Rhinolophus ferrumequinum: one gene and its partners. The protein of the gene in region 2 interacts with the protein of the main gene of each other region in a pairwise test. Links are inferred from orthologs where the notes say so. Each region holds a gene or a part of one and is shown on either strand. Other genes may lie near its edges.

The links.
Region 1: the proteins of YBX1 (region 2) and C1QBP interact in binary tests that used the Homo sapiens proteins (3 or more experiments, as listed by UniProt). The link is inferred for Rhinolophus ferrumequinum from reciprocal best matches to the Homo sapiens genes YBX1 and C1QBP.
Region 3: the proteins of YBX1 (region 2) and HABP4 interact in a two-hybrid assay, tested with the Homo sapiens proteins (2 studies listed by BioGRID and IntAct). The link is inferred for Rhinolophus ferrumequinum from reciprocal best matches to the Homo sapiens genes YBX1 and HABP4.

Annotation. Positions count from the first base shown.
Region 1 is NC_046304.1:12,969,732-12,979,962, forward strand, and holds the start of C1QBP (complement component 1 Q subcomponent-binding protein, mitochondrial), read right to left. Parts: upstream 4,828-10,231; 5' UTR 4,742-4,827; coding exon 4,516-4,741; intron 3,912-4,515; coding exon 3,761-3,911; intron 3,188-3,760; exon of another isoform or gene 2,586-3,187; coding exon of another isoform or gene 2,373-2,585; intron 1,650-2,372; coding exon 1,556-1,649; intron 295-1,555; coding exon 199-294; intron 1-198. Other genes in the region: RPAIN (RPA-interacting protein), read left to right, coding at 2,373-2,585; ATP-dependent RNA helicase DHX33, read right to left, coding at 8,509-8,817.
Region 2 is NC_046292.1:30,052,259-30,062,748, forward strand, and holds the start of YBX1 (Y-box-binding protein 1), read left to right. Parts: upstream 1-5,783; 5' UTR 5,784-5,926; coding exon 5,927-6,092; intron 6,093-6,774; coding exon 6,775-6,838; intron 6,839-10,490. UniProt on the Homo sapiens protein: DNA- and RNA-binding protein involved in various processes, such as translational repression, RNA stabilization, mRNA splicing, DNA repair and transcription regulation.
Region 3 is NC_046295.1:8,721,937-8,733,229, forward strand, and holds the start of HABP4 (intracellular hyaluronan-binding protein 4), read left to right. Parts: upstream 1-6,717; 5' UTR 6,718-6,826; coding exon 6,827-7,178; intron 7,179-11,293. UniProt on the Homo sapiens protein: Ribosome-binding protein that promotes ribosome hibernation, a process during which ribosomes are stabilized in an inactive state and preserved from proteasomal degradation.

The DNA of each region.
Region 1 (10,231 bases), on a different chromosome or scaffold from region 2:
TCCAGGACAAGCCAGACTCATGCAAAGAAAAGGACTATTTACAGGTTAAAACTCACCAGACTTTAACCTTGCTCCCTGACTCCCCATACCTCTACTCCCCTGCTTTGCTGGCCTAAACTAGAAAAGGGACCAGTAAGATCTCTGGAGGCCCTCCTTGTCCCCAGGGATGCCAAGGTGCTAGGACTCCATCCTACATACCTCATCTTCTGGGTAGTGACAGTCGAGCACAAGGGTCTTCTTGCCACCACTCTTTATTACTTCAACCACGAAATTGGGAGTGGATGTCAATTCAGGCTGGGGAAACAAGAACAAGTCAGCACATGCCATTGTTGGCAGGGGTGGGTTGGATGCCTGGACCAAAGGTCTCAGACAATTCAGGGGGTTTGGCAGCCACCATTATCAGGATATTATTTAGCCATTGTTAAAGTCTCATTCTACAGTGTTTCTAAATAAGGAGCCTAGAATCTTTATTTAACATGGGGTATTAAAGCCACATACTGGCTTATTCAGGAGACTGGGATGAATTCTTCCTATTGATCTTCTAAAGACTATGTTTTAGAGGGCAGAGTACCCTATATTTAGAACAGTCACCTCTATTAGCACCCTAAATAATATACTAGGTTTAGAATTAAGAGATCTGAATTCCAGCCCCAGCTATGTGCCAATTAACTGAGGTCTTGATCGTTCCTTATTCTTCCTGGGCCTTTTTCTCCATAAACTGCGAAGCTGGCCTAAAGCTCTAAGATCTCTTTCCAACTGACTATTTCAGGATCTTCCTATGGCCCAGGACCAAAGGCCGGTGCACCTGGCTAACTGGCAGTCCTATGTATGAATAATCACAGTCACTCGCCCTTTGATGGTGAGCCATCCAATGTCAAAGAGATCCTAGTTAGGGTAGCTGAGACAGCAACACAGCAGGGATCTGTGCTAGTTCATGAGACAATACAGATGCCTGCTTAGTCAGAAAGTCTGGAGACCCTGTGGCCCTCATACCAGCTGGTTTCTAGGCTAGACACACCGCTTCCTAAAATGTTTGAAGTCTGGTCACCATCCAGGTCCAACCAACAGGGCCAGCAACATAAGCAAAGACGTTGCCAAAATCTCTGGTGTTAAATTAAATCTGATGCCCCTGGCTTTGCTACTTTGGTTAAGTGGCTGGTGTTTTTATTACCAGCCTGTGATGTGTTAGAACATCCCTCACTTGGCAACACTCCAAATGATAATCTCTGATTATCAAACACCTTCCCATTGTGGAAGGGTTAAAACCGTTTCCATTCCTTTCCATTTGGAGAACACAGGCCAAACTATAAATCCGAAGCTTGCAGATGGTAATTTACTCAGTCCCTGGGAAAGAAAAGGGGCCATACATTATCCCTGGGGCCAAAGGAAACTGCTGCTCTGCAAGTAAAAGTCCCAAGGATGGTTATCCTTTGCATTCTCCTCTCTTAATTTCTCTAGCATTAGAGAAATTAAACAAAAACACTGCTCCTCTAAGCCCCGGGAACAGCCTATCAGAATTCTGAGGTAAAGGCTGGTTATAGGGTTACAAGCTTACCTCCTGTTCTTCAACCTTCTGCCCTTGGGATGGCTGTTCCTCCCCATCATATGTGGGTGGGATACTATTGTTAATGTTGAAAGTGACAGTGATCCTAGAAAGGCAAAAGAAAACACATCAGAAAGAATATAGTTCTCTTTTTTTTCAGTTACAGTTGACATTCAATACTAGTTTCAGGTGTACAGCATGGTTAGACATGTATATAATTTATGAAGTGTTCCCCTATAAGTCTAGGAACCACCTGGCACCATACATCGTTATTACAATATTGGCTATATATATGCTATGCTGTACTTACGTCCCTATGACTATTTTGTAACTGCCAATTTGTACTGCTTCTTAATCCCTTCACCGTTTTCACCCAGCTCCTCAACCAGTTCCCCCGTCTGGACAGGGTAGTTTTAACTGAGTAGTTAAATAAGTATGGAAACCTGCTAGTTAAAAATATGTATTGAAACAAAGTCTCTAACCTAGCTGTCTTTACATGTGAATTATTTACAGACCTTCCAGAAAAGCCTGGGTGCCTACATCTTACCTAAGATGGATTCAGCAGGTCTCAAGTGTGCCTACTATGTGCCATCTGCTGGAAGTCAAACTAACAGGCCCCAGTTTATCTCAGCTAAAACGAGCATGTGTGATCAGGCCAGCATCCCAGGGCTCACTGCCATCTTGTATCCACTGGTGGTCTCATGGCCACAGCCAGCTGACATTGCTCACTGTTGTCCTTCCAGGGCATCTTCCAGCGGCAATGAGCAGCTGAGAAGCGGGTGGGATGGAATAGATGTCTCTTTTAAAAAGCTTTTTTTTTCTCCATCAGAAAATCTGCCCCTTGGAGGAAAGGAAGGAGCACTGGAGGGTTGCATCAGCTAAGGACCAAGAGCAGCCCTGGCCCCAGGAAGGGGAAGCCTCACAAAGAACAATAAGCTGCAGTACAGTCCTTCTTCAGAGTACTTGTGGGAAGTTTTATAACCACAAAGCAGGCCAGAAACACCAATTAATGAACAATTTCAAGGTACAAGAATCCACCTAACAAATCACGTTCCAAAGTTTGAGTCAAAATTAGAAGTGATGTGAGATTTGAAACACTGCTGGGCTGCCCAACTCCAGCAGGCATTATGTGCACACAACAGCACACTGTAAACGTGTGGCCTCGGGAGCTGTGCCAACCAGCTGCCTTGCTAGGAAGCCGCTTTCCCATAAGAACAATGACGGTCTGAGGTTCAGCCACAAAATCTGTCTGATCTGCAATGTGATGACCAAGTTGAGCTCCTAGAACAGGGGTGTCCAAACTTTTTTTAATGTTTTTCACCAAGGGCCATATTCGGTAAAATACACAAACAAACAGCCGGGCCACTTACTCGAGGTGAAGTACGTATTGCCTCACTTGGTTTATTTAAGTAAACTAAATATACTTTTTGGAATGTCCTGCGGGCCAATTAACAATGGATTGTGGACCACAGTTGACCGATGGGCCGCAGTTTTGACACCCGTCTTAGAACATAATTTATAATGCCCCCAAACTGGCCATGACTCACCCTAGGAAAACGGTTTAGGTGAAAATTACAGAATTGACCTACTTGTATATGTGGGGAAAAACACAATATGCCACTACGCCAAAAAAAAAAAAAAAAAGCCAGAACCCTACTTCAGAAACATATCTAGACATCCACTCGAAACGGATCATAAAAAGAGCTAAGCTAGGTCAAAAGCTCCCCACCCTTCTAATGACAACCATTTACTACACTGGAATCTCATCCTGTTCCATATGAGTTGCATGTCTTGCATTTTCATTTACTGTAAACATCAGGAAGCAGGGGCCTTGTTTTACTCAGAGCCTGTAGTGTAGTGAATCAAGCACTGTAAACCTGCGATCTAACTGATGCTGTCATTACGATAGGAATTTCTGAATGTGCATGCCTAGAGGCAGGGCATGGCCTCCGCCACCAGTAGGGGTTTACTGAATGAGCTGTTTCTGCTGGGCACCGCTACATGCTTTTGTGCTACCTCCTTACTGTCTCCTTAGTAACCAGCCCACAGGAAATTTGTGTGCAATGAATGAACTACCAGGAACTTAGGAAATTATCCAAATGAATCCTTCTGTCTCTTGGAAACTATGTATCAAAGTACCTGCCTTAACTCAAGCTGTTCTGGGGATGACCTGGGGCAGGGACATGGGTTTAGGCCCCTGGAGCCCACCATACTTACTTTTCTCCAGCAACATTCCGCACTAATTTGGCTTCTGTCCCATTCACTTCCAGCTCCCAACCTCCAGACATCTTGGGGAGAGACTTATGCTTCTGTATCTTCTTTTCCTCCTTAATTTCATCACTCAGGAATTCAACAAAAGCTTTGTCTCCTACAACGAAAATCCATTAAAATACAGAAAAAGAAAAGCCCATCAGTTTAAAACGTACAAATGACCCGGGTTACTCTAGCCAGAAATCTGGACTTGGACTGTTAATAATCATTCTCTGGGAACTTAGTCCAACTCACATCCACTAAGCCTCAGTGTCCTTCTCTGTAAAAATGCTGTAATACTGTCAGTGGGAAGCCGAGCTATATTCTGGAAAAGTGATTTGCAACAACGAACTCATTATCATTACCACGTTTCACACAAAGCACGAGTTCCCAATTACCTTCTCCCACTCGCCAAGTCATAACCACGTTACTTTCAACCACAACCTTGGGCCTTCCTTAAATTCCATTTTTGAGACTAAGTTTAAAGTCGGTTTCCAGGATTTAATTGTACATCTCACCCTAAAATGAAACACTTAGCGGACAGGAAAAAGGGGAAATGTGATCACACGTGGGTTTCATCCTCTGGTTGCCCAACACTGGGAAAACGTTTCGGACCTCGCGGGGCCGCTCTGGGCGGCCCACTCGTGGTCTACACTTCCCGGACCCCCACCCCATTCAGGAAATCTACCCCTCACGGCCCCGGCCCACGTGCGCGAACTCACCTTCCGTGTGCAGCGCGCCGCAGCCGCAGGAGCAGGGTCTGCGAGGCCGCAGGAGGCTGGGCAGTCGCGCAGATCCCGAGCGCACGCTGAGGAACCCAAAGGGCCGGGCGCACGGCCGGGGCGCGGGCTGCAGCAGCGGCCTGAGCGGCGGGAAGGGCGCGGCGGCGCGGAGGCCGGCGACGGCGGAGCCCAAGGCTCGGGGCACGCAGCGCAGCAGAGGAAGCATCGCGAAAGCTGCAGCGGACACGTGCGGCTGAGGACGACTCGGGCCAAGGCGTAACCGGACCGAGCTCACCGCCGGAAGTCCCGCCCTCGACCAGGAAACGCTTCCGCAGCGTCGCTTTGCGGGTCAAACGCGGTGGGTAGGACTGCCCCCTCTGCTTGGGGGCGGGGGGCGGCGCGTTCCTGAGCAGCGTCCGGGGGAGGCCTCAAATCCGGTAGCTAACTTTTTATCTGATCAGCAGGCCTGAGTCTGGTGTGCAGCTTTCTGTTTGATTCGCCAGCATCACTTGTCTCCAGCAGCTGCTTACACTTTCCAAATTTCCATCTACTGGTCTGAAAGCACGCCAGGCTGTGACTTCGCAGAACGCACTCTTGCCACCTCCAACAGCTTACAAAGACTAGCCTTCAAGGTCATCTCCTTTAAGATGCCTTCCTGTAACCTCCTCCTCTCTTCCGTGATAGGAACTCACGCCGGCGCATGCCCCGCCGCTACCCTTCAGTCTTTTCTCAGGAGAAACCTCCTGGCACTGCTGGTTTACCTGGCAGCCTCCCCTCACCCCCACCGGACTAGGAGTACCCGAAGGGCAGGATCCCTGGTTAATTCCTGCCACCTTCCCTCTCCATACCCTCCAACCTTAACCTTGCTCTCAGATTCTGATGGGACATTATTTTGGGGGGTGCAAGAAGCCATGGCTTACGTCAGATTTAGGTTAAGAACCGATGTTCCTACTTTAACAGGACACACAGGATATATAAGGTACCAAAAAAGTGAGTCTTCCCCAATTAGTGGCAAAGTTAAGATGAACAATATATTCTAAACAGCATTCTGTAAAGTGAAAGAAGACTCAAGATAGAAGCCATACACACCATGTACAAGATTCACTTTTAATGGATGTAAATCATGTGCAAATTTGAGCATTATATACAAGAACTGATGTTTTTATAGAGCTGTGTCTATTTGAACAAGACCAGATTCTCAAAATACAACACAAACCAGAATCAATTTGATTTTTCTGGTTTCTTTTTCTGCAGGTTATAATATTTTGATCAAATATAATCAAATCCTTGCTCCCCCACAGATGCAGTGTTCCTTTACATGCTCAAGATGCCTGGCCACGGTTCCAAGCAGTTCTTGATAGCTGGATTAAATGTATGTATCATGGTACATAAAAAGTTTTACCCACAGAGCAAAAACTTGTCTCCATTCTGGCATCGTTTTACAACCAGCAGAAATGCAACGTTAAGTAAGGGTTCTTAACAAGGACCGGCTGTTGGCAGTTCTTTCCCATAATGAAGTCTGTTCTCAGTGCCCTGGATGTTCCAGGCTCCATCGTTACTAGAAGACAGCTGAGGCATGCCAGTTGCTTGAAGATGCTTGTGAGAGCTAGTGATTCGCGCAGATATGGGTTTCACAGTTTAGAAGAGGTGTCACACCATCGTAAATTTGACGAATGGAAAAAGTAGCTCAAGATGATATTGCAACATTACTGTGAAACATTTAACTTTCTTAAGAAAGTTTAAGTTTAAAATGTGCTGTCCCCTGCAGCTCAATATAAATAACCATTTATTTCTTTGTTGTAATTTGTGGAGTCAGAATGGGTTTTCTAATCTGATTTAATCCCTGAGCAGCTATGTTAAAAATTAACTTTTTAAAAAGCCCAATAAAAAACTACTGTATTAAAACTCTACCAGAATGTTACAATGATAAACATATTTCTGTACAGAAACATTAAAGCTACTTAGAAGCTATTTACATTTATTTAGAAGGTATTTATCCCTATTCCTGCTCAGAAAAGAATTTATATTTCCAGAAACTCTTTAGGTACTTAAGTTGGACACAAATTATTCTAAGTTTTATTTGCCCCAGAGAACACCTCTCCATAGAGAATTGGCTGAGGAACATGATAAATCAGCCCACTCCCTATTTTTTACCAGCATGATGAATGTTTTATTAAAAATATTTTCTTTTACCCAGTCAGGCTAAACATCCTAGGCCTCTATTAAATAAATGAGAAAAACACACTTTAAAAACCTTTTGCAACAGTAAAAACAAGTCAATCTGAGGAAGAGCCAGCTAAGTCTAAGCATTCAATAAGACAGGGTATATAGGATCTGTGGAATCCTCTTTAGCCTAAACGTAACTGTTCCTAATATAATTAAATCACAAGTGCCCATACAGCCCTGAACACTAGATGAAAGCTTGACTTCTCAGGGCCACGGCTACTGCTCGAAAGCCTGAGCCAGGCTTAACATACACAAGCATGAACAGATGAGACCCAAAATGAGCTCCAGCAGGCTATGGTCTTGGAGAAGAGTTCAATGGATCCAGAGTGAAGAGACCATCCATTGTCGCTGAAGAGTCTCTCAGTTTAGCCCCCTGCCTATAAACTGCATGGTTCACTTTAAGTAATGACCAAAATACTGCACACATGTGTTTAGACCAATTAAGCACAATAAAAGGGCTAAGTCTTGGATTCTTCTAGGGCAAAACATTATCAGGGGAAAAATCATTTGCTTTCGATAATTAAACAGCCAAGAAGAACCTTTAGTGTCTTTTCCTTTCTCAAAATGAGAACAGAAAGACTGTGAAGACCTAATTCCCTCTGAGAAAAGTAGAAACAGGGTTAGAGAGGAGTGACTGGCACGGTTAGGAAGTAGCAAAGGCAAGTTGTCCCCAAGTCCCAAAGAAGAAAAAGAGATCATAGAAAATAAATAAGATCTAAGAATATAAACACCAGATGAGGTGGATGGGACGAGCTGCGCTAATGCTGTCTGGGTTCTCACTGACCCTTCGTCTCTCCCCTCCACCCACCCCAATAGCTGAGCAGGGGCTCTGACAGGAAAGAAATAGTTGAAGTATAGCACGGAGCCATTCCTTATGCTCACATATTTACATGGACCCAGTGACAGAGAAAATGGCAACTGGCTATGCTGGAAGCCATCACGATTTAAAAAATACAAAGCAACCCTCACCTGGGAAACTTCCACGGGTCCTGAAAGCACGGATGGGGACATGTGCCACAGAGGCACCACGGGCAAGGGGGCACCGCTCAGGAACCTGCGAGCTCTCCTGTACTGTTGTTCTCTGCTTGGAGGCAGGAGTCCACACACTGGGCAGGAGGCTCAACAGCGGCGGCCAGCCCACAGGTAAGAGGCAACAGCCCCTCCCTCCTGAAATTTCTGCAGATGCCAATCTCCGATGTTTTCTATTTAAAAACTTCATACAGCTAGACATTAAAATAGATCGAAGGACAACATCAGAGCTCTGTGACCGCCTATGGTCCCCTCCCAGAAAGTCCCCCTTAGTGACGAGAACTCGGGATTCTGTTGTACTCCATTCACATTATGTAAAAAGGAATAATACCTCATGCACGTTCACTGCGCGCCAGGCACAGCGCTGATGTGAAATGAAAGGGATACTTTCATTTTCTCTAAACCTCATGACACCAACCTTACAAGTAGTATTATTACCCCCACGTGGCAGATGAGGAAACTGAGGCTCAGAAGTTAACTACATCGCCCAGCAAGAACCGAAAGCATAATTCCGACATCTCAAAGGTATAAATGGTAGGTAGATGTCTACACGGTTCCGTCCTAAGAGGTTAAACAAAGATGCTTGCAAGCTCCTGGAGCCGGGCACGGCCCGCTGCATTAGAACCAGCCGCTTCCCCAGGCGCCACGCTGGAAGCCAGGGGCGAGGACAGGACGGCTGCGGTCCCAGCTCCAGGTCCCAGCTCCAGGCCCCAGCAGCGCCGCCAGCGGCTCGGCGGCTCAGTTTCTGGCGGTTCTCAGCTTCCGGCGGAAGTACTCGGGGGCGGCGTCACACAGCCACTGGGCGTCCACCACGCAGAGGTCCCGCATGTAGCACTTGTTGGTGCGCAGCAGCTCCGTGTACACCACGCAGGCGGGCTTACAGTGGAAGAGGACGGACGAGGGGTGGATGGCCACCGGCTGGTGGGTGTCGGTGGTGGCGTAGGTGCCGTCCAGCTGCAGCTCCGCGCTGCTCATGAAGAGGCTGTGAGCCAGGCAGCGGCGGACGCTCTCCATGTCTCCTCGGCACGACACGGTGGGCATCGACATCTGTTTCAGGAGGAAGCGAGAAGTGGAAGAGACCCCAAACAGATACCGCTCAGCACGGCACGGTATTCGGAACACCTGTAGCTAAAAGGCAGCCCCCACTGCAAGCCTGACAAGGTGGATGCTGCCATTCGGCGGGGTTCCTCACCTGCCTCCGCCATCAGCAGGGCGAGGAAGGGCCGGGTTGAAGGAGAGTGGACTGAAAATAGGAAAATCGCAGCCTGGGAGAGTGCGGGCCAAGAGGGTCTCGAGGTGCCAGACCACGGACAGGTTATGAGCCAGTCCTCAGCCCCCCACGGAAACGTCCAGGACGTCCCGGGAAGGAAAGGCCCTTCCCTCTGACCACTTCCTTCCTCATCTCCTCACTCCGACCCATTTCATACACTGCCGCCACATTCATCTTCCTCTAGCGCAACTCGAACCACTCCTCATCCACTCAAACACCTTCCGCGTCCCTCCCGCTCTGGCAACGCAAGGCAAGCTGCCCACTGCGAAGCCGTGAATGAGGCCGCCTCAACACGCGGAGGTCCTCCGCAATCAACTGCCTTCTCCCCAGGCAGAGGGCCTTCGCCGGCCACTCCTCAGACAGACGCCCCTCAGCCCCACAGTGGAGGTGTCAGCCGTCAGTCAGTGTCCTGAGCAGGTCGTGTCACCTTACACCCCAGGTCACAGCTGAACCGACCAGTGGCAGGCACTTGCCTGACCCACGCTGGGCGAGCTTCTCTCTTCCAGGCATTTGGAATCTGAACATGGGAAATCTGACCAAGCCCGTTAGTCTCCTGAGTGAAAGGCTGGGGCAAGGAGTCTGAGGTAGAAGGTGAGAAGGGGGAAGGAGGTATGCAGAGAGCAGCCAACTAGAGGCCATGGCTCCAGACATAGAGAAAGCTGCCCTGGCTCCTGACAGCCTTTTCTGGTTCTTCATTCCAGTCCCTGAAGGCTGGATTATTTCCTGCCCATTGGTTCCCAGAGACACCTCTTTATCCCCTACCCACCTTTTCCCTTTAAGGTGGCTCAAGGGGTTCTGTTCTTGGATGAAGACACTATCGCCTCATCTGTCAGGATAAGCTCAGTGCCACCACCTCCAGGAAGCCCAGAGTCCTACAGCTACGTCGCGTTCTCACCTTCCAGACTGCCAGCTCCACCCTCCCTGGCTGTGAGATTTGGGACAAATTACTTAACTTCCTTAGGCTCTAGTTTCCTCATCTGTAAAATGGGAGAAATAACAGAATCAACCTTATAGGAGTGAAGTGAGGATATCAAGTAAGGCAATACATGAAAAGTGTTTAGGGTGCCGTATTTCATAAACAAAGGCAATTATCATTATCGGCTCCTCACATCACTTATTCGTATGTATATGTCAGATTGCCCTCTGGATTGTTCTGTAAGATACTTAGCCTTAGGCAGATCTGTAAAACCC
Region 2 (10,490 bases):
TATTAATAATGGTTACCTCCACAGGGTAGATAGCAAAGAGACTTTCTTTTCAGTTTACACTGTCCTGTATATGCTTGAATTTTCTACTCCGAGCATGTATCTTGTAACAAATACATACAATATATATGTAGTTTTAACTAATCCTGGTCTCTCCCAGACCCTCCCAGGAGCGTGTGGCTAACATCAGTTTGAATCATTCCCTGGCCCTCCATCTCCTCCTTCCTGGCCTAGGCAGAGTCAGTGGTCCCTTCCTGGGTCCTCCTAGGACTTGGTTCATCCTTCTGTTAACAACATTGAACACCGTGGATCACAAATGTATTGGTCTGGTGTTCTCTAGACAGAGAACTCCTTGAGGCAGGGTCCGTGCTGACTGACATATGCCTGATCTGTGATAGAGCTTAGGTCTTGGAACACCGTGCAACTTATAAAGTGCTGTCATACGTTTTTGTACATTCTGCTTTAGGGCCCAGAGTCAAACTTCTGTTTGAGCCTGCAGTGTGACAGCAGGACTCCCTGTCCTCTGGAGGAGGAGGGGTGTGGCCACGTCTGGGGCGAGGGGGACAGTAGTATCTGAGTGTACTCACCCTGTTCTTTTAGTGCAGCTAACTCCAAGGCCATAAACAGAGGGTGTGGAATCTCCTTTCTCTGTGACCCTGGGATCAAAACCTGCACAGAAAGATTGCTGTTTGTTCTAGAGCGCCATAGAGTGCCACAAGGTCTGGCAAAAAAGACATAGGCTTTGGAGTCAGTATACCAGGAACCCCCATCACTGTCAAGCCATTAAACCCCTTGGGACCCTAGTTTTCTCCTTTGCTTAATAGTATAATGTATACTGCACAGAATTGTAAAGGGTAAATGAGATAATATGCTTGACCAGAAATGTTAGTTTCTTCCTTCTTGGTTCTTGTGTAATATACTTTCAACTTTGCTCTGGAGAACCAAAGGTCTGGCCTATGGCAAGAATCAGACCGGTTTTTATTCTTTGGTTAAAGAGGATCAGGAATATAGAGGAGGTGGGAAGGTTGTCTCCATGGAACATCCCCTTCCAGTTCCCTCTGAGCTGCTTGTCTCTTCATCCCTCACAGACCTCCACATCTCTGCCATTGTGGGCATGCCCTTGCTCAGGGTGATGCTCTTGAGTAAGATAACCTGGATTGGGCCCTGTGTTTGCTTCCCTGCCAGCTGTTGCCCTGTTTGATCAAGAGACCTTGGAAGTATCACAGATTCAGAACCCAAGATTTCCATGTTTTTCAACTGTAAATAAAGTGTTTTGGTTTTGGGGTTTTGTATGTGTATTGTTTTTAAGTGGTTGTAATGGTAGCTCCATCTCCTCACGCCTTAGCTCCTGCTGCAAGGCCAGCGTGGACCACAGCCAAGCCCTTGCTATGTATAGTGGAATGCCTCAGATTTGCGAGCCGTTATAGCAGTCCCCTCGTAGGTTCAAGTTGATGGAGCAAAGAAGGCAAAGCCCCAGGGCCTCAGAATGATGTATTCCAAGGATGTTCCCAGTAGGTTCAGTTTAGTTAGTTCTGGAGCCTAACTTGGGATGTTTTTGGATGGGAGACCATTTGGTAGAATGTGTCTCGATCACGACAAAGTGGGAATAGTGTAGTCCAAAATCTTGGTTTGAATCTGGGGTCATTTTTTTTAAAACAGTTGCGGTCTTGAGAAGTTCACTGTCCCATTCAGAGCCCCAGTATCCTCATCTATAAAACGTGGACAATAATACCTGTATACTACGTAGTACTGTTGAAAGGGTCAAATAAGAGGATGGACATGAGGGTAACTTGTAAACAGTAATATGCCTTGGAAAATGTTTTGAAAGGAATAACCCAACGTAAAAAGTTCCCTTGAGTATAATATTCAAGAGGTATAGAGAGTTCCCTAGTGTTCCTTTCATGAGACAATTTCTATGTCCTCCCATTTCTCCTTTCTCCTGGCTGATGGACACTTGACTCATAACTACTAGCAGCAGGCTACTGCAGGCAGCAGAGATAGCAGAGAGCTGAATTCTATGAAAATAGAACCTGGCTTAAAAGTGTCGTTTCAGTGTATTGGGAGACAAGGAAGACGGTGAGCTGTACAAGAGCCTTATAGTATAGATATTTGCAACTCTGTAGCTAAGTAAATATGGTTCAGAGGGGACGCACTGAGAACTGATCAAGGAACCAAACAGGATGGAATTAAAGATAGGAAGGAGGATGAGCAGCTGGGATTTGAGTTGACCTTCTTGTGATGGGCCGTTCGGTTGAATTCAGTTACACTTGGCACCCTTCATTCTATGCCAGTCTCTGTCCTGGACACTGGAACTGCAAAGATAAGTCAGATGTGGCCCATGCTTGTGACAGGAGATAGGCACAGTTTCAATACAACGTGATGAGTATTAGAATGTGAGCCCTAATGAGGACAGGGATTTTGGGCAGGTTTGTTTTTCATTTTTCGTTTGTGGTTTTTTTTTTGTTTTTTTTTTTTTTTTTACTGTGTTCTCAGCACCTAGAAGAGGTAAGCACCTAGTACCTAGTAACTGCTTAATAACATTTGTTGTGTGAATGGTAATGGTATGTACAAGATGCTATGGGAGCAGAGTGGCGAGACCAGGACTAAGAGAAGAGGTAACATTTGAGGTAAATATTGCCAGATTGGCTGGAATTAGCCAGGAGATAAGGGAGGGGGGACTTTCCAGGAAGAGGGAACTGTGTTCCTGGGCCAGTCTGTCAGAGATGGGGACAAAGGTAAAAGTGATTTTGCAAAGGAGATTCTTGAAATGAACCCCCGTGCCTTTCACATCACTTTTAAAGATAGGCACTGGAGTTGTCTGAACTGTGGTCACCATGCTGGGCAGTGTGCACTCAGGGTAGCAGGGGGACTAGCAGAACTGTGGAGCAGAGAGCGCCCACCTTGGAACAGGAGATGCATTTTGACATAAACCGTTTATCCTGCAGTGCTTCAGTACCATCTCTGTAGTGGTAGAGAGGTGGCTACAAGGAAAGTAGTAGGAAAGAGCTCATCTTTATGTCCACTTAGCAGGAGACAGCTTAGTGAAGTAATTGGATGAGTAACTAATGATACTTTTAAGTAACATTATAAAGACAAATGTTACAGAATTTATATTTCTGCGTGAGAAGCCATCTCTTCAAAGTAGTTATTAATACATAGGGAAGGTTGCTCACTTATTCTCAGGTGCTGCGGTCATTGTCTTTCTAACTCCACTTTGGGAAAAAGCTTGCAAACCTATAGGGGCACACTGTCCTCAGTGTTGGCAGAACTGCCTTTTGCAGTTTCTTCTTAGCAGTCAAAAGTCATCTGGAGCTGGCACAGATGAATAGCAGCTCTAGATTCCACCTAATTCTCTCCATACACATTGTTGCTGCAAGCCTTTTTCACCTGGATTACTGGCACAGTTGCGCAGATGACCTCTCTGCTGCCTGTACCTTCTCCAATCCCTTTTCTACACCATCTCATTCATTTAACAAATTTATTAAGATACTGTGTGTCAGGTATTATGCTAGGTGCTCCAGGAATTCACAGTCTGGCTGGGAAGATTTAATTAATGCAATTCAGTGTTAGGATAGGAGAGTCTTGTCACCTAATAACATCTGAGGCAAGACCTAAAGGATAGAGAGTTAAGCCTTAAGGCAAAGGAGAAAGGAAAGAGGAAGTGTTACCAGTAGAGGGAATAGTATGTGATAGCCCAACAGCTAAAATCACCTGGAAGGTTGGGCAAAGAAGTGAAAGACAAGTGGGGAGTAAGTTTAGAGAAGTCATACGGAGTCCTGTAAACCACATTAAGGCGTTTGGACAATCCTAAGGGTAGTGGTAGTCACTGAAAGATTTTAGGTAAGACAGTGTCATGATCAGATGTTTTCAAAAGAACACTCTGGATGTTGTGGTGGAGAATATTAGAATAAGAAAGCGGTAGAGAAACCAACTAGGAGTGCTCTAAGCCAGGCCTCAGCAAACTACAGTTGGCAGGCCCTCTCACTGTTTTTCAATGGCATATAGCTAAGAATAAGAATGGTTTTTAAATGTTTAAACAGTTGAAACAGTCTAAAGAATATTTTATGACATGTAAAAATTATATGAATTTCAAATTTTAGTGTCCATAAAGTTTGGAACAGGGGAACCTGTTTACTGATTGTGGCTGCTTACAGGCTCTGAGGTTGATTAGTTGAGACAGAATCGTCTGGCCTGCAAAGCTTAAAGTACATATTATTTGGTCCTTACAGAAAGTTTGCCTGCTTCTGCTCTAAGTAATAGTTGATAATGGCCTACAGTAGTGTAGGGCAGTAGGAATGACGGGATTAGAGAGTTTTAAGGACTGATTCACTGAATGCCTTTTGGAAGTGGAATGACAGGCCTAGATGATGGGCGGGGGGGGGGGGGGGGGGGGGGGGGGGGGGGGGGGGGGGCGGGGGGTTAAGGACTGTTGCACTAGCCTGTTTTCCCTACTACTTCCATTTTTGCCCCCCTACAACCCATTCTCCACTTAGCAGCCATTAAAAAAATGATGACACTCCCTACTTACAACTCTAAATTACCCTTATCACTATTGCCCTTAGGATAATTTCAATAAAATCCTAATTTGACCCAGCCTACCTCTATAACACAATGTCTTCATTCTAGTCTTATTGGACTACTTTACTTGCATTTCCCCAGACCCAATCTCTTCTTGCCTCTCGGCCTTGCATAAACTTCCACGTGCCTGGAGTCAGCACTCCGCCTTCTTCTACCTTTACTCCCAAATTGCTTTGTGCTTTGGCAACGCTGTGGGTTGCGAGTTTAAATTTCTGTTTTCATCCTAGACTGATTTAAGGCAGAATCTGATGTACTAGTCCATCCCCAGCAGATAGTAGATGCTTACTAAACAACGAATGAAGGACTTCAGCTACAGCATGTGGCAGCCTCAAGTATAGATCGGTTGTGAAACATGGATAGTAATCCTTATTTCATGTGACTGTTGTAAGAATAAAATGCAAGAAAAATGCCTAGCTTGCTCAATCAACGTGATTTGAGATTAAATCTGATTTGTGGCCAATAGAAAAAGACCTGAATATTTAACAAGACAATCCTTACATGCTTGGTAATATGGATGGGAAGACAGGTCCCCATGGAGTACGCCCCCGCCCTCCACCCTAAAAATGCCGAGCAGGGCAGCCTGAGAAGCCTGCGTGGTCCCTCGAGGGTGACTGCTCCGCCGAAAACGGACACTCTTTGAATGCATGCGTTTAAGTCTGGTCCAGAAACACTCGGCTGTGCCACGAGTAGCACGGCCATTGTAGAATGCAGGCTCTATCCACAGTAACTGAGGTCACAAGGACCATATTTGGAGCAGGAAGGGAGGGAGGCCGCCTTTCCACATGGAGCTAAGGTGTCGACGGGGCCCCTTTCAAGCCCCCGGTTCCGGCCGGGTAATCCTGGCTCAAGCGTTTGGCCGTGCCTTTCCTACCACCAGGATACAATCCTGGATGTATGGCCCGCCTGCCCAGGCTGCAGCCTAGTGAAAGTCACGTTCTCTCTGCCCGTCCTCGGTACTCTATGGTTCTCGTGGTGACTCTACTCTAATTCTAGTTCCGGTCTCTATGGCGGCGGCGGCAGAGGCAGGAACGGTTGTAGGTCGGCCAAATTAGCCGCCTAAGAGCCAATGAAAGTGCAGGAGTGATAAAGTATTAGCCAATAGAAGTCAGGAATTGGGGTCAGGTGGCAAGATTGACAGCACTCCTGGCCAGTGAACGATGCTTAGGGCGGGTCGATCTCAAGGCTTATCCCGCCCGTCCCGCCATTCTCGCTAGTTCGATCGGTAGCGGGAGCGGAGAGCGGACCCCAGAGAGCCCTGAGCAGCCCCACCGCCGCCGCCGGCCTAGTTACCATCACACCCCGGGAGGAGCCGCAGCTGCCGCAGCCGGCCCCAGTCACCATCACCGCAACCATGAGCAGCGAGGCCGAGACCCAGCAGCCGCCCGCCGCCCCCCCCGCCGCCCCCGCCCTCAGCGCTGCCGACACCAAGCCCGGCACCACGGGCAGCGGCGCAGGGAGCGGCGGCCCGGGCGGCCTTACATCGGCGGCGCCCGCCGGCGGGGACAAGAAGGTCATCGGTAAGGGCCGGAAAGGGGCGGGGGTTGGGCCGTAGGAAAGCCTGGCGGTGGAACCGTTACCCGAAGCGGGGCGAGCCGGCGGGCGCGCGGCCGGCGGGGACCGACTCGGCAGCGCGGCTGCCCCTCCCCCAGGCCCGCGCCTTCGCGGACGCCGGCTCGCGTGCCCGGCAGGCGCGCACGCGCCAGCTCCCGCGCCCCTGTAGACCCCGCGCAGCCGCGCGCCCCTCCCCCCGTGCAGCCGCGCGTAGTTGACCGCGTGTGCAGCAGGGTCTTTCCCCTCCCCGCTGGCCGCGTGCGCCGGGGCCCGCACGCCGTTGTTTCGTCCCCCCCACCCTTTCCCTTCCGCGTGTACCCTGAGGGCGCGGCGAGTCGCCTACGCAGGCCGGAGTGGGCTGGGCTGCTTCCCCTTCCCTCACGTGCTCTCCGCCCGGCAGCCGCGCCCGCCGCCGGCTGTCTACGCGCGCACCCAGCTTGGGCCTGCGACCCTGGCCCTGGTGCCTTGAGCTCACCCACGTGGACCGCGGAGGCGCGGTGGGGGCCAGAGCGTGGCCGGGCGAGCTGGCTCTGAAGAGAAAGGCTGTCAGGTGGCCGCGGGGAAACGCTCGAGGGACCGGATGCTGAAGCGTGGCGGTTTTAAAAAAGGATGTCTGGTAATCGTGAGTTTTTTTTTTTCTCCTTCCAGCAACGAAGGTTTTGGGAACAGTAAAATGGTTCAATGTAAGAAACGGATATGGTTTCATCAACAGGTGAGCTGACCGTCCTACCTCTTGCACGTTCTGCTCGCAGCTGCAGGCTGTGCGGATTTGGGATTGTTGAAGCATGCGTAGGTTGCTCCCTCTGGTGTGGTAGTGGGTTTTTGTTTTCCTGGATGACTGAAGAAATTCGTGCATCTAGAGATTATCTTTGTTTTGCATCTAAATATTAATGTGAAGCTAACTTAAAAGGCTTGTGATGGTACAAAGCAATGTAAAAGGCGGGCGGATTAAGCGAGCCGTCTCCTAACGGGGCAGACTGAGGAAACTAAGATCTAGTGTGATGCCGTTAGGCTCGGTGCCCACCACGTTTTTATCCTTGTCATTTTACACGTTGTTGAAATTGGTATTTAAAATGTGACCCACTGATGGCATATAGATCCGTGATGACATTGTTCTTCGTATTGGAAGGCAAAGTGACAGACTGCGTTTTTAGGCGTAACGCGTGGAGTTGTTTGTAATAGTGGTGGTAAGGTGCAGTGTATGCACAGGACTCGCCGTGGTCTCCCTGTGAGGCGGGCATCATTTTCAAGATGGCTGCCAAGGCTAGTGCGGTGGCATGGGTGTAGAGGCACTGTGCGTGCTGATGGTGATACGGGCCTTACAGGTGTGACACGGGCATCTCAGCGCTCTCTTACATGCTTGCTTTAGAAGGTATTAAACAACTAGAGGTTTAAAAGAACACTTACCAAGTAAGAAGTAATACCGAATGTGAAATGGACACTACTGCAGGGAAACTAAATGGGCAAGCTCAAGCTTAAAGAGAGACAGACTTGTTTGAAAACCCGTTTATTGTATGGGGCGGGGGCAAAAGAGATTGGAAGCATCTGATGGTCTGTTTTTACAGTATTTGCAGTTGGGGGGGGACATTTTGTTTCTTGCAAAATCTTCAGGAATTTTCCATCTGTTCTTACACTGTCTGCCTTCCTGACAGGCCAAAGCTACATTTTCCATCAGTTTTGTGATGATGGGTTACTACTAGTGAGGAAGGGAATGCTTTGGTGCTTGTATTTGAGCGCTTTTTAGTTGATTGATCTCTGAATTTGTTAGCATTTAAGTTAGTATTTCCATCTTACTGGCTTAACCCTTAAAATAGTGGGTTTTGAATTGAAGTGTGCTTAACTTTGGAAGGGTGTTAAAATGCAAATTCTTCAGCTCTTCCTTCCCGGTTTGGATTCATTGGGGTGATCTGGGGTACATTTTTAACAAGAATTTCAGGTGGTCGTGGCTTGTGGGTCATACCTTGAAAAACATTGCTTTTAACCTTGACACAATGTAATCATAGGATATCTTGGGTAGGAAGGAATGTAATTTGCAGTCTTTTCAGTGGTTAGAAGGTAGTCTGTGTGTGCTTTAAAAATTGTAGCATGTGCCTTCTCTCTTGCTGTATTTTGTTAAATGGACATAGATTGTGATATTTTTGAAGCGGACAATTGATAACCCAATATGAAAGAGTAGTTCTTTACATACTCTAAATTTTTATGAGATGTCATTACTTGAATATCTCTGTTCTGATTTGCAATCAACTCAACTGGTCATCTTCCAGGACAAGTTAAATGTAAATTGGCTTTTTATGATCCTTTGTTTGGACTGTCCAGGCCTCAACTATTTTGTCAAATTAACTGGTTCAAACGTGCTTTATGTTTCTAAAGAGGTCATTCCAATGATTCTGAGACTTTGAGAAAGACACTAAAATCTGACTGCAGTTACGTCCAGGAGAGGTTTGCCTTAAATGTCTTAAAGAACTATACTTCTGGGAGTTAGCAGTTCAGGGTTCACTATATAGCCAAGGCTGGAGACACCTGGGGGCGGGGTTGACACACACGTGCTGTTTATCTATAAAGGAGTAGATGCAGTGTTTGGGATTATTGCCATGACTTTAATTTTATCTCTGGGGTTCTATGATTATATGTTCTAGGTTCTTAAGCTTTTTATAATTAAAATAAGGCTTTTCTGTAAATTTTTTGCCTTTAAAGAAATGTATTTTCGTTGTAAACATTTGTCAGTCTAAATTATTGTGTATTATAATCATTGGTACAACTTTGTTAGAATTACTTTTTAAAGGGTTTTTTCCTTATGATCTTAATTATATAAAAGATGGTAAATAAGAATATAGAGCTTTTTTTTTTTTTTTTTAATTGGGGAAGGGGGAACAGGACTTTATTGGGGAACAGTGTGTGCTTCCAGGCCTGTTTTTCCACGTCAAGTTGTTGTCCTTTCAGTCTTAGTTGTGGAGGACGCAGCTCAGCTCCAGGTCTAGTTGCCGTTGCTAGTTGCAGGGGGCACAGCCCACCATCCCTTGCGGGAGTTGAACCAGCAACCTTGTGGTTGAGAGGATGCACTCCAACTAAATGAGCCATCCAGGAGCTCAGCAGCAGCTCAGCTCATGGTGCATGGTGCCGTGTTCAATCTTAGTTGCAGGGGGCGGAGCCCACCATCCCTTGAGGGAGTTGAGGAATCCAACTGGCAACCTTGTGGTTGAGAGCCCACTGGCCCATGTGGGAATCGAACCGGCAGCCTTTGGAGTTAGGAGCATGGAGCTCTAACCGCCTGAGCCACCCGGCCAGCCCTAGAACTTTTTTTTAAACAGTAAAATTTTTTACTTTATTTTGTTAGGCTGTGAAATCTAGGAATTCTGAGAAATTCATTGTTATTCTTTCTTTGTGTGTTGAATCTGTGAAAAAATTCTATTATGTGATTAGAGGGGTTTATTAGCCCCTAAAAGTTATTTTGCATTTTATTATGAAAAATTTCATTCAAAACTGTTGAAAGTACTATTGAAGGATGATACATGAAAGATGCCACAGAGGTCAGTGGCTTCAGGATTTGAATCTCTGCTTTTTTAAACGTGATGTTGTCTTTTGCTTCCAGCTGTTGTGGATTAATCCATGCTCACCAAACTAAAAAGGTTGGCATAAATCAGTAACAATTTATTTGTCAATGAGGCATGCATCTTTTGATCAGAATAGGAATACTTTTCTGTTCTCCAGAGTACTTAAAATGCTAAATTAATTAATCATTCTAAGTTTTGTGGGTAGGTAAGGAATTTGGAGGCAAGAGAATTGAATAAGCATAGGTCACAAACTGGGTGACTTAGTAGCAAAATCTTCCCCTAGGTGTTATGTTTGGACAGTAGTAGTGTCTTAAAAAGAATTGGAATTACTGACATTTAAAAACTTAGGAGGTAACACCAAAAATACCCAGATTAAAGACCTGAATTTTAGCTTTAAGGCATATAGTCCCACATAAATAAAAATTCAACTGGCCATAAATATTATCACTACCTATAAATGGAGCATATAGTCTCTTTATCAGTCTGTCAGGTTTAGTTTTCTCCTATTGATTTGCCCTCCTGCCTGGCTTCTGTATGTGCATTTGAGTTTTTTACCTATTATCTAGGAAGATGTATAAGAAACCTAGCCAGGGGAACAGCTTAGCTACCCCTTCACAGAAATACTTGGTCACGGCTGTGAGGTTTAGTCTTTGGCGGTGATGGTGCTTGCTGGTTGTATGTTAGCCACTGATCTGAAGTTGCAGAAGTCATCCAATGTTCGTTCGCCAAGTCACTGATCAGTAAGATCTTTACATCTTAAAATCTGGAATAGAGAATTAGTATATTCACCTTGTGTTTTCCTAGTGCTGGAAC
Region 3 (11,293 bases), on a different chromosome or scaffold from region 2:
TCATACAATATTGGAATTGGAGAAGGCACATATTGTGAGGCCAACGCACAGTCCCTTTAACTCCCCAGTACGGCCTGTCAAGAATCCAGATGGGACCTGGAGAACGACTGTGGACTACAGGGAGTTAAATAAGGTGATGGCACCTTTGCACGCGACAGTACCTTCAATACACAATTTGACGGTCTGACTGTCCGCCTGGGAACATATCACTATATAGTGGAATTGGCCAATGCTTTTTTCTATGCTTGTCGCGTAGATTGTGAGGCAAGATCCTAGAGGGGTGAAGTGTGAGGACAGAGTCCCAGAGAGCAGTTTCCAGGCTCTCACCTTGCATGGGAAGGAGCTGGCTCGGGTAGTGAATGACCATCAACTTGATTGGTTGGCCATCAGCTGTAACCAGTTAGCCAATTGGCTACTGATATAAATGCGGGGCTGCGTTGATTGGTTGGTTGGCAAGCAGAAAAGTGAGTGGCGGACTGCGGGTCGTGTGGCTACTACTGCGTGTGTCTCGCCAGGTCGCCAGAAAGAACATAGCGGTATGACTCCCCTATCTATGGCTCCGTGGGTGTTCCTTTTTGGCCTAGCCATATCCTGCGTTCTTATGTGGGGAGCGGGAGCAGAGACCCCGCAGGCCGCCCCATACGACAAATGGCGCAGCAAGCAGGGTCTTCAGCACGACAACACAATATAGCTTTTAGCCCTCAAAACAGTTGGGGGGTGGGGGTGTTTAAGTATATCATTTCCTCACACTAGCACCATAGTGAGCACTCCCGCATATAATTTCTATTAGTGATATAATTAAGGACACCCACTCAGCTCCCTTGTAGCATTTATCTGCAAAATTACATTGTCCCCCTGCTTACTTAGCTCTTTAAGGAGAGAGATGATGTCCTGCTCACATCCAAGCTGTTAGCTCAATGCTTAGCAGGAGCGTAAAGGTTAGGAGTGCAGACTCAAGCCAGACTGCCTGCATTCATGATCCCAGCTCTACCACTTACTGAGGCACTCATCTCACTGTAAAATGGAGACAGCAGGGGTGGCCGGATGGCTCGGTTGGTCATAGTGCGAGCTCTGAACAAGGTTGTCGGTTCAATTCCCATGGGCCATGGGCCAGTGAGCTGGGCCCTCCACAACTAGATTGAAGGACAACGACTTGGAGCTGATGGGCCATGGGGAAACACACTGTTCCCCAATATTCCCCAATAAAATTAAAAAAAAAGAAATATTAAAAAATAATAATAAATAAATAAAGGAGACAGCAGATACATCTATCTCCTCAGTTGTTGTAGGGGTTAAATGAACAGATAATGTTTAGAAAGAGAACAGATAATGCTTAGAAAAATGGTTAGCACCAAGCAAACACTGTATAAAATTCAGCTATGATTGTTAGTAAATGTGTAGAATAATAATAAACTTTCAGAAAAAAAGAAATGATATCACATTGATTCATATAACATGTATTAATTAATTTTCATACATTATCTGTTGCATTTTTACTTTATTTTTTAATACATGCACAATTATTTATCAGGAGCCTATGTATACAAACAAGAAACTCATTCATTAACACAACAAATATTTCCTGAATAAAAGGCACTGGAGATGAGACCAGGAAAAGGGAAGGACGGGATACCAAATGAATTAGATATAATTTCTGGCCTTCAGGAAGAGAAATAAGGAGGAAGAATTATAATGCAGAGCACAACAAACAGTCCACTGTTGCAAGAGGTGTACCAATAACACACTCATGCTAATCAGGGAATTCTGTGTGTTACCTCCCCAGCCCTCTATTCCTACCTGCTGATATTGGAAAACTTATTTTCTGGGGAACCACCCCCCTTCCACTCAGTCCCAGGGTTCAGGGGGTTGACTCAATCAGACTACAGCTTGGCCTGGTGATCTGGGCTTGGTTGATCAGAGAATTAAATACTGTTCACTATAGCAACTAGTTCAAGGTGTACACGTGACCCCAGACACACCTGTGATTCAATTCTGGGACACCTGTGCCAGTGTTGACAGAAAAGTCTTCTTTCTTTTCCTGCTGGGCTTACAACTGTAAGCCTTTAAACACGGAGCTACTGGGACCATCTGTGGTGGGAAACCGGTAAAAGGGAAGCAAATACAGAAGAAAATAAAGCTGGCGGGGGGAGGGGCAGAGAGAGATCAGGTCCGGATATGGTTTATCCCCAATCCAGCAACGCCTGATTCATTTTTGGACTTTTTTCTTGAGCCAACAACATTCTTTGTTTACTTTTTCCAGGTGAGTTTTCTGGTGCTCACAACTAGAAGAATCCAGAATAAATGTGGAACTAAGAAGTTCTAAATTCCAAATTATTTTATTCAGCCTTGATGAAAGTTATAACCAAGACCAAAATGTTGATACTAGGAACTTTGAGAAAATAAAAAAAACTGTTCTGTTGGCACAGTACTCTGAGGATACAAAGCACTGTGCTAACCAGTAACATCTCACCACCAGAAAAAGTGGGAAAGAACCTCAATGACAAATGGTAGTAGGCTGGGTGCAGATTTAAATATTCTGGTTTTGGTCATCATAAATGGATTTGGGCTTGCTAGAAGTTTTCCTATAGTATCTTGGTTGTTAAAGGCTTATGGTTCTACAACCCCTAACTTTGAGATTATGAACTTGCTTTATTCATTTGCTGTGGGAAACTGAATTTGAATTCACGTATCAACCTTATAATAACTAAACCGAAAACTATATTTTCATTGATCTTATCACAATTGACTCAGCTGACATAAAGGACAGATGAGATCCTTTTAGATGTAGGAAAAACATTTTTGTTTTTGCATATATTAAGCAAGTAGAAACAATTGTGAGAAGTGCAATTTTTTTTTACTTTTTCAATTTCCTTCTTTGGTTTTATCTTCCCATCAAACATATGAGGAGCCCAGGACTGATTATAATCATCCTAATTTTATGGAGGAGAAAACATAAGCAAAGAGATAACAGTAATTCAGTTGCAAAAAACAGTATATGGAATGCAACCTCTGGTGATTCACAAAAACTCATACCTTTTACAGCCTGACTGGCCCCTTGGTCCTCACCCACGTGTTGCTCCCTGCATGTAATTAAAAGTAATAAAGCTACATTTAAGTCCATCTAGAAGATTTCAGTGTATTTTATTTTATTATTCCTAATGGAATTCATATATTAAGCAATTCAAGGAAACTTACATTTTGTATGTAGTTAAACTTCACTGCATTTCCACTGGTGCCAATAAATAACGACTGTGGAAGGGCTGGTGGTATTATTTAGCATCCACATCTCACTGCTTTTTTGGTATGCCTGATTATATAAGCTATATGGATGTGCATGTGTGGTTTTCATTTTTTCCCATTTGGTATTATAATTACTCGAGTTAATTTTAGATCTTGGATTATTAGGAAGATCAGTCTATTAACTGATCACATTAAACACAATGCTGCAAGTAACTTATGCTAACATGGTGAAGTTATATTTTAAGATTGCATTTATGGATGCAATCTCCCAGCAGAAAAATGGTCAGGAAAAAAATGTGAGGCTGCTTAATAAGTTACCATCAGTAAGTTCAACATTAATCAATAGCCCCATAAGACCTAATACCTGTTAGAGGCTACTCATCTCTATTCCAGTGGTTCTAAAGGTGTTCTTAATCCTGAAGCAACCAGGATTGGTTGATTTACAATTGTTTTAGGCAGTTATGTTTGGAAATTAGGGTGGAGTACTCATAAGGCATGCCTTAAGAACTTGCTATAGTTGGCTGTCAGAAAGGATAGGAGGAAAATGGGGGGAGTGAGATGTCTCCAGATATCCAGTAGGGAGATGACACGCCCTTCTTAAGTGGTAATGGTTCCTTGGTGTTGTGGCAGTTTAAGATGCCAGAGACAACCTTGGCTTGAAGCAGTGCTTCTCAAATTATGGTCTTTGGTGCACCTGGTGATTCTGGTGCATGAAGAGTCTGAAAACTTCATTTACATCATAATGATGAGGCCTTGTTGTAACTCTACCTAGTCTTAGGTCTGATTCAAAATGATGAGGATGATAGTAATGTTGATAATGACTTTTACTGAGGATTTACTCTGTGCCATGGTGGTGAACACTACATATGCATTATCTGACCCAGTCGTCACAATAACCCTCTGAAGCAGGTGCCATTAGTTTTTTCATTTTACAGAAGAGAAAACTGGGGCGCAGAAATAAGGAACATGTCCACGGGCATGAAGTTAATTAGTGGCTGAGCCAGGATTCAAATCATGGTCTAACTCTAAAATATATGGTTTATTTTTAAAACTGCGGTAAAATACACAAAATTTACTATTTTAATTATTATTTTAAAGTGTACAATTCAGTAGTATTTAGTACATTCGCATTGTGTGCAACCATCACCACTATATAGTTCCAGAAAATTTTCATCACCCCAAAAGGCAACCTCATGCCCATTAAGCAGTCACTCACTCCCCATTCCCTTTTCCCCTGAACCCCTGTAACCACTAATCTGCTTTCTGTCTCTATGGATTTGCCTCTTCTGGACAGTTCATGTAAATGGCATCATACAATATTTGTGTCTGTCTTCTTTCACTTAGCATAATGTTTTCAAGGTTCATCCATATTGTGGCAGGTATCAGTAAACACTTCATTCTTTGTTTAGCGCCAAATATGAATCCATTGTACCACATTTTGTTTATGTATTCATCAGTTGATGTCCATTTGGGGTTTTTCCCACCTTGTGGCTATTGTGAGCAGTGCTGTTATAAACATTCAGATACAAGTTCTTGTTCAAACATCTGCTCTCAATTCTTTTGAGTAAAAAAATAGGCTTTTAATCACAAACCTCTGCTGACTCCCAGGAGATGATCATATATCTTAAAATCTTCAGATAGTCAGCACATATTTGAGAACCTGCTGTGCAGCCACCTAGAATGCTAAGCAATGGGAATATAAATTGCAATGAATAAGATAGCCACCATCCCTGTCCTCCTCAGGAATGACAGACAGACATTGAATAAGTGAGTAAAACACGGCCCGGCAGCAGTTAGGATTAAGGGTTCCTTTTCCATTTGCTATTAAAGTAAAAGCTGGCAATGACGCACCTCAGTAAGATGCTTCTAACAGGATGCTTCTGAATGCAAGAAGCAAGCACTAAGCGTAGCTTAAACAATAATGGTGTTTATCATCTTACATAATAAGAGTCTGAGGTAGGGAGGTTCCCGAGTGGGGTAAGTCAGCAGCTCAACATCAAGAACCTAGGTTTTCTCCATCCCTCTGCTCTGTCATCCTTATAGTCACATTAAGGGACAGAAATTCGAAGCATCAGGTCCTCCTCACATAAAAAGGACCAAAGAATAGATGTGGGAAGATGGCAGATTCCTTCCCATCCCTTTTTAGGTACAAGAAAAAAGTTCCCGGAAACGCTCTAGAATACATCCCCTGAGATCTGTTCTGCCAGATTTGCACCACAAGCCTATTCCTACACCAATCATTGGCAAGAAAATGGAATTACAATGCACGATTTAAGATTAATCACCGTTGAAGCTGGAAGGGGGCCCAGATTCCCCTGAGGCATGAAGACACCTGATACCCTAACAAAATACAGGTTCTGGGGAAACAAGTTCTGAGCTCAAGACCTCAATTGAATATCTCAAAAGGAAAAAAGAAAAACAAAACCTCAAACCTCAACATCTCCAAGACTGAACTCATGATTCTCATCAAAGCGGTCTCTTCTAGTGCTCTAATTCTCTGTGAATAGCACCACCATTCATTCCATTCGCACCAGCCAGAAAAATAAGAGTTCTCATAACTCTCCTCATTTTCCTCCTCTTCATCCATATCTAGTGCATCACCAAGTCCTGTTGATAAAACCTGCAAAATAGCTCTTAAATGTACTATCTCTTCACCTCCACTGCCACCATTCTAGTCCAAGTTACTGTCATCAGCTCTTCCCTGGAGCTCTGCAACCACCTTCTACTGGTCTCCCTGCATCCCTTTTGACCTCCCTTCAAGTCCTTCACATTGCAGCCACAGTAGCCTTTTCAAATACATGCTCACGTTTAATGTTTTCCTCCCACTGATCCTAGAAGAAAGATCAAATAAGGCCCTCACCCAACTCTTCGCAATCCAGTTCGGTGGTTTTCTTGGAGCCTGTGAGTGGGTTGTGCTACACCCGATCTTAAGACTTCTGCACTTGCCATTGCTCCTGCTCCTTATCTTCCTTCAGATCTCAGCTTAACTGGGAGAAGCTTCCTAATTAGGTCAGGTTCCTTCGCTATCTCATAAAGAACTCTGTGCCCTTCCTTCAGGACACTTTTCTGTAAGATCCATGAAAACACGAAGCAAGTATCTTCTACAATATGCCTGGCACATAGTAAGTGCTCAATATATAGTTGTTCAATGGTTAAATGAATGTATAAACTTAAAAGAGGAGTGACCATCACGAATGTGGATCCAGATTTAGAGAAAACACAGATAATGACCGTGACCTACCCACGCTGGCCAACCAGCCTGGACCAGAGGACTCGTTGCTCCTCCCAGTAGCCCCGCCCCTTGGGCTCCGCCCCTCCTTGTGAGTTGGGGGAGGGGCATAGAGGTCGGGTGACGTGACAGCAGCCTGCAACTGATTGGGCTTCCAGGCGTGCCGGCTAGGAAAAGAGGCGTGTCCGCATGCTCTGATTGGCTGTCGGGCGGCGGCGCGGGGGCTGGCGCCAGGAGGGTGGGGAGCCGGCAGGGCAGGGAGGGCTGCAACCGCGGGTGGGATGGGGCCTCGCTGCCGGCTTCGCTGAGACTCGCTTGCGTGGGCTCCCGCGGTGGGCCCGCAGTGGCCGCCGCGGCATGAAGGGCGCTCTGGGGAGCCCCGTAGCCGCGGCCGCCGTAGGCGCTGCGATGCAGGAGAGTTTCGGCTGCGTTGTGGCCAACCGCTTCCACCAGCTGCTGGACGACGAGTCGGACCCGTTCGACATCCTGCGCGAGGCCGAGCGCCGGCGCCAGCAGCAACTGCAGCGCAAGAGGCGCGATGAAGCGGCGGTTGGGGTCGGCAGTCGCGGCGGCAGAAGTCCGGCCGGGGCCTCGGGCCACAGACCCGGCGCGGGCAGTGGCCGGAGGGAGTCTCAGAAGGAACGCAAGGGACTCCCGGCCCCCGGCGCGCAGCAGCCGGACAGCCCTGCGGGCGTCCCACAGCCACCCGGTACGCGCGCCCCACCTGGCACCTGGGCGCCCCTGGGTGGGCGTGGTGGACGGGAGGGGAAGGAAAATGGGTTCACGGAGGCCACCCCTCCTCGGCCGCCCCACGACCTCCGCTCTGAGAAAGGGGTCACTGGAACCTGTTATAGAAAGGGCAGGGGGCTCTGGGAAAAGTTCGGTTGAGTTGGGGGTCCTTGTGACGGAATAAGATAGGAAAAGAGGACGAGGATGGGGCGGGGGTTGTCACGTCCCTTCTGGCCTTTCCCGGTCCATTCTGGGGGGGTGGGTGTGCAGGCTTGGAGTAGGGGTATCGAAATTGAGCCCTTACAAGTTGGGCAGAGTTGCAGGATATTGCTGGGTGGTGTGTGAGGCAAAAACTGGGTTCGCTACTTCGGGATTCTCCAATCTAGAGCTAGCAGGGACCGTCTCCCTTCTCCAGCCCAACCTCTGCAAGACTCAAGTCGGGAGCAAAAGGAGGCGTGATGGGAGAAGAGCCCCTCTTAGGGAGAGTGGGGGAGGTAGGGCGCACCCGGCCCGTGGGAGTGGTGGCAGAGCCCCGGATGTGAAGAATCGCCGGGGTGAGAGGTTCGGGCCTCTGTGATGGAGGGAAGGCCTGGGTGACCACGGAGTCAGGTTCTGATGTAGGCCGCGTGCGGAATGCGGCAGGGTGAACGCGGGGTCCCCGGCGCCTTCCAAGCCCTATGCCTTCACCCGATCCCCATATTGTAGCTTCCAGTAGAATGCCGGCGTCATTTTTCAATAACGCATCTAGTGTTGATGGGATGTGTAACTTGTCATTAACTCAGGCTGCTTTCTTTAACCTTTTCAACAAGGATAGTCAAAGTTCTCCCACTCCTTGTTTAGTCAGAACGCCTAGCGTAAAACTTGGTGTACTATTTTATCTGCATATAGGGATGGAGGGTGCTTAAGAGTTCGTTTCTCACAAGAACTGAATCAGTGGTAGAGTCAGGAAGACTCCACCTGTGTTTCCTGTTTTTCTAAAGGCTGTAGTCCTGAGGTTTGCCTGAGAAGAGTGTTAAGATTAAGCTGTGCAGTTCCACCACTGCAGCCATTGTTTGGCAGTGTATTCGACTGGACTTTATGGGCTAGTTCTTTGCTTGATAAAAATTGTGCATCCCACAAATTGGCAGTTACAAAAGTAGTCAGGGCGATGTAAAGTACAGCATAGGGAATATAGTCAATAATATTGTAATCACTATGTATGGTGCCAGGTGGGTACTAGACTTATGGGGGCAATTAGTTATATAAATGTCTAACCCCTATGCTGTACACCTGAAACTAATATAATATTGAATGTCAACTGTAATTGGAAAAAAATTATTAAAAAGAATTGTGCCTCCCAACCCTGAGAGAACAAATGATTTAAGTATTGGGGCTTTGACTCCTGCAACTAGGTAATGTTTACCTTTATCTGTGAAAAGTGTAGTCCAGCAATATCACTTGAGAATCAGAAAATCAAGTCACTATAATACAGATGTTGAAAATTATTTAAAATGCTATCTCAAGACCTCTTGGTAGACCAGTAAGTTTATGAGCCTATGTAAACATGAGTGTGACTTGTGATATGATATACATTTTGTATTTTCTATTTTTTCCTCTTAAATCTATTTAGATACATACAGTAGTAATAAAAGAAATGAGGAAGGCTAAACTTTTCCTCTCCCTTTATTTTTTTAACAAATGTAAATATGTATTTTATCCTTTAGAATACTGTGAAACTGCATTTAGTGCTGTTAATATCACTTTTTAAAATTAAAAATGTTATGCATTTTTGTTACCAAGATTTGAAACAACTTAGAAATGATACAAAGTGAAAATCCCCTATTTTCCTACTGCTAACATCTTGCATTTACATACATAAATGCACAGAGCTGTGGTTTTTTTTTAAATTTAAACAATATAAGTTAGTTTGCAATCTGCTTCTTAGCGTTTTAATCTAGTAAATTTGTAACTTTTTCTGTCAATTGTTCACGGTACAGGTGACCTGGCTTTAGAGATCTATATTGAAGATCTTTAGTTATCTTGTAGTTAGAAGGGAAATTTTGTCATTCTAGTTCTTTTTCAAGTATGTGTTATTTCAGGAGCAAACAGCTCAGTAATTTCCATTTATGTGGTTACTATAGTAAACTGTAATGAGTGTTTGGGAGCTACTCTCTCGAGGTTTTTGTAGCCCTGATTGATATGGACTATACTTTTCTGACACTCAAAATTTTTAATCTATTTAGAATATTGTGAGTGAATGCTTGGTATAAAGACTCAAAGTCAAAACATATTCAACATATAATGGAAACGTTTATTAATCTCAAAAGGATGTGGACATTACAAGATTTTCCCATGGAAAAGGAGAGTTTTAATGTTCTTCACTATTTAACAACATACAGTTGACCGTTGAATAACATGGGTTTGAACTTCGCAGGTCCACTTTTATGTGGAGTTTTCAATTCACCCAAGTTGTTTGAGTGTCAACTGAATGTAGATTCTAGCTCAATAAACTCATTCTTGATGTCTTAAGAGGCTGTTTCATCTTTACTTTTCCTAGGAAACCTCATTGTATATTTTACTGTTTTCTGTCCCTTTATAGGGGTATATTGAACAGACTGAGTGTGCCAGCCTTTTATTGGAAAGAGCTAGAGAAATTCAGTGTTTGCATTATCCACTTGGAGCTGCTGATCCAGCACAGAAAAACAAACTCGTTTCAGTTGCAATCCTGATTTCTTAATACTAAATTGGGGGGAAACAATTGTACTCCTATTATCTTTGTTTTTTTGGATTTTGGAGGGAGAATAAAATGTTTGCAGGGTATTAATAATTATTTTAATAAGCAACCAGTCATATTGAATGTTTTTCAATTTATACACAGAACTTTGGAAGAAGTTTTAATATAAATTATACAGTAGACGGCATTTTAAATTTTGAATGGTGAATTCCAAATTTAATTGATACAATTTAAAAATAACTTTGAGAAAGGAGAAGGCAGGATAAGTTCCTAAGTAATTCTGTAGTTGAGTGGCGATATTAAGATTTTTTTTAAATTGTACGTTATAAATGTATTAAAATAACTTTTTACATTGAGGGAAAAGTATTGAAAAATATTGTTACTGTTGACATATTTGTTCATGACTATTAGTCATAGTGTATTATAGTTTTCAATTTGTTAGATAATTAACTTTCATAATAACATTTTCTACTTTACATTTCAAATACCTCTTCCAATCCGATCTTCGTTAGAATGTACGTGCCTTCAGACCTAGCGTTTCATACTACTGGGCAACTGGGCATGACTGTCAGTCTCTGTTTTATTTCGCAGTGAAAGCATAATGCTGTATTTATAATAACATTTTTCCTGTATTCTGAGCATGTCACAAGCTCAGATTGTAGCTTCGGTACAGGATGTAAATCGGATTTAAACATTTCTAGGTTATGGGCCATTAACTTAAGGTTGAACTTAGATCTGTTGTGCAACTGTTTACAATTGAAAAAAGTACTTTATGTTAACTAACAAGTAATAAATAGCACAGTTTTGTTAGTGGTATCACAGACATGACTTTTGCTTTAAAATGAGATCAGTAAGTTATCGAAACTATGTTAATATTTACATATGCCCAATTTATAAAGTTTAGATAGAAAATATTAAGTGGGAAAATAGAAAAATATGTATAAACATATTTCTTAAGTCATGTTTATTTGTCTAAGTAGGAACAGAAACCAGCAGTTAAAAAGGTACCCATTAATTCAAATATATTTAATATTTTTTATAGCCACGCAACCAACATGAAGGGTAATTTATACCAAGAAAAATTGAAGCTACTGTAATAAAAATTGTACATAGTGTTTGAGATGGAGACCTTTTAAATATGTGCAAAGAAAAGATAAACATTTTTGGAAGATGATTTAAGAAGTGACAGTTTTTCACAACATATTTGCCAAGTATTAGATGCCTTCAGACATAGACTCTGCTTAAAATTTTTAAACCGTCAAAATTGGAGTGGGGGGGCAACCAGATGGGTCAGTTGGTTAGAGCGCGAGCCAATTCGATTCCCACATGGACCAGCGAGCTGCGCCCTCCATAACTAGATTGAAGGACACGACTTGGAGCTG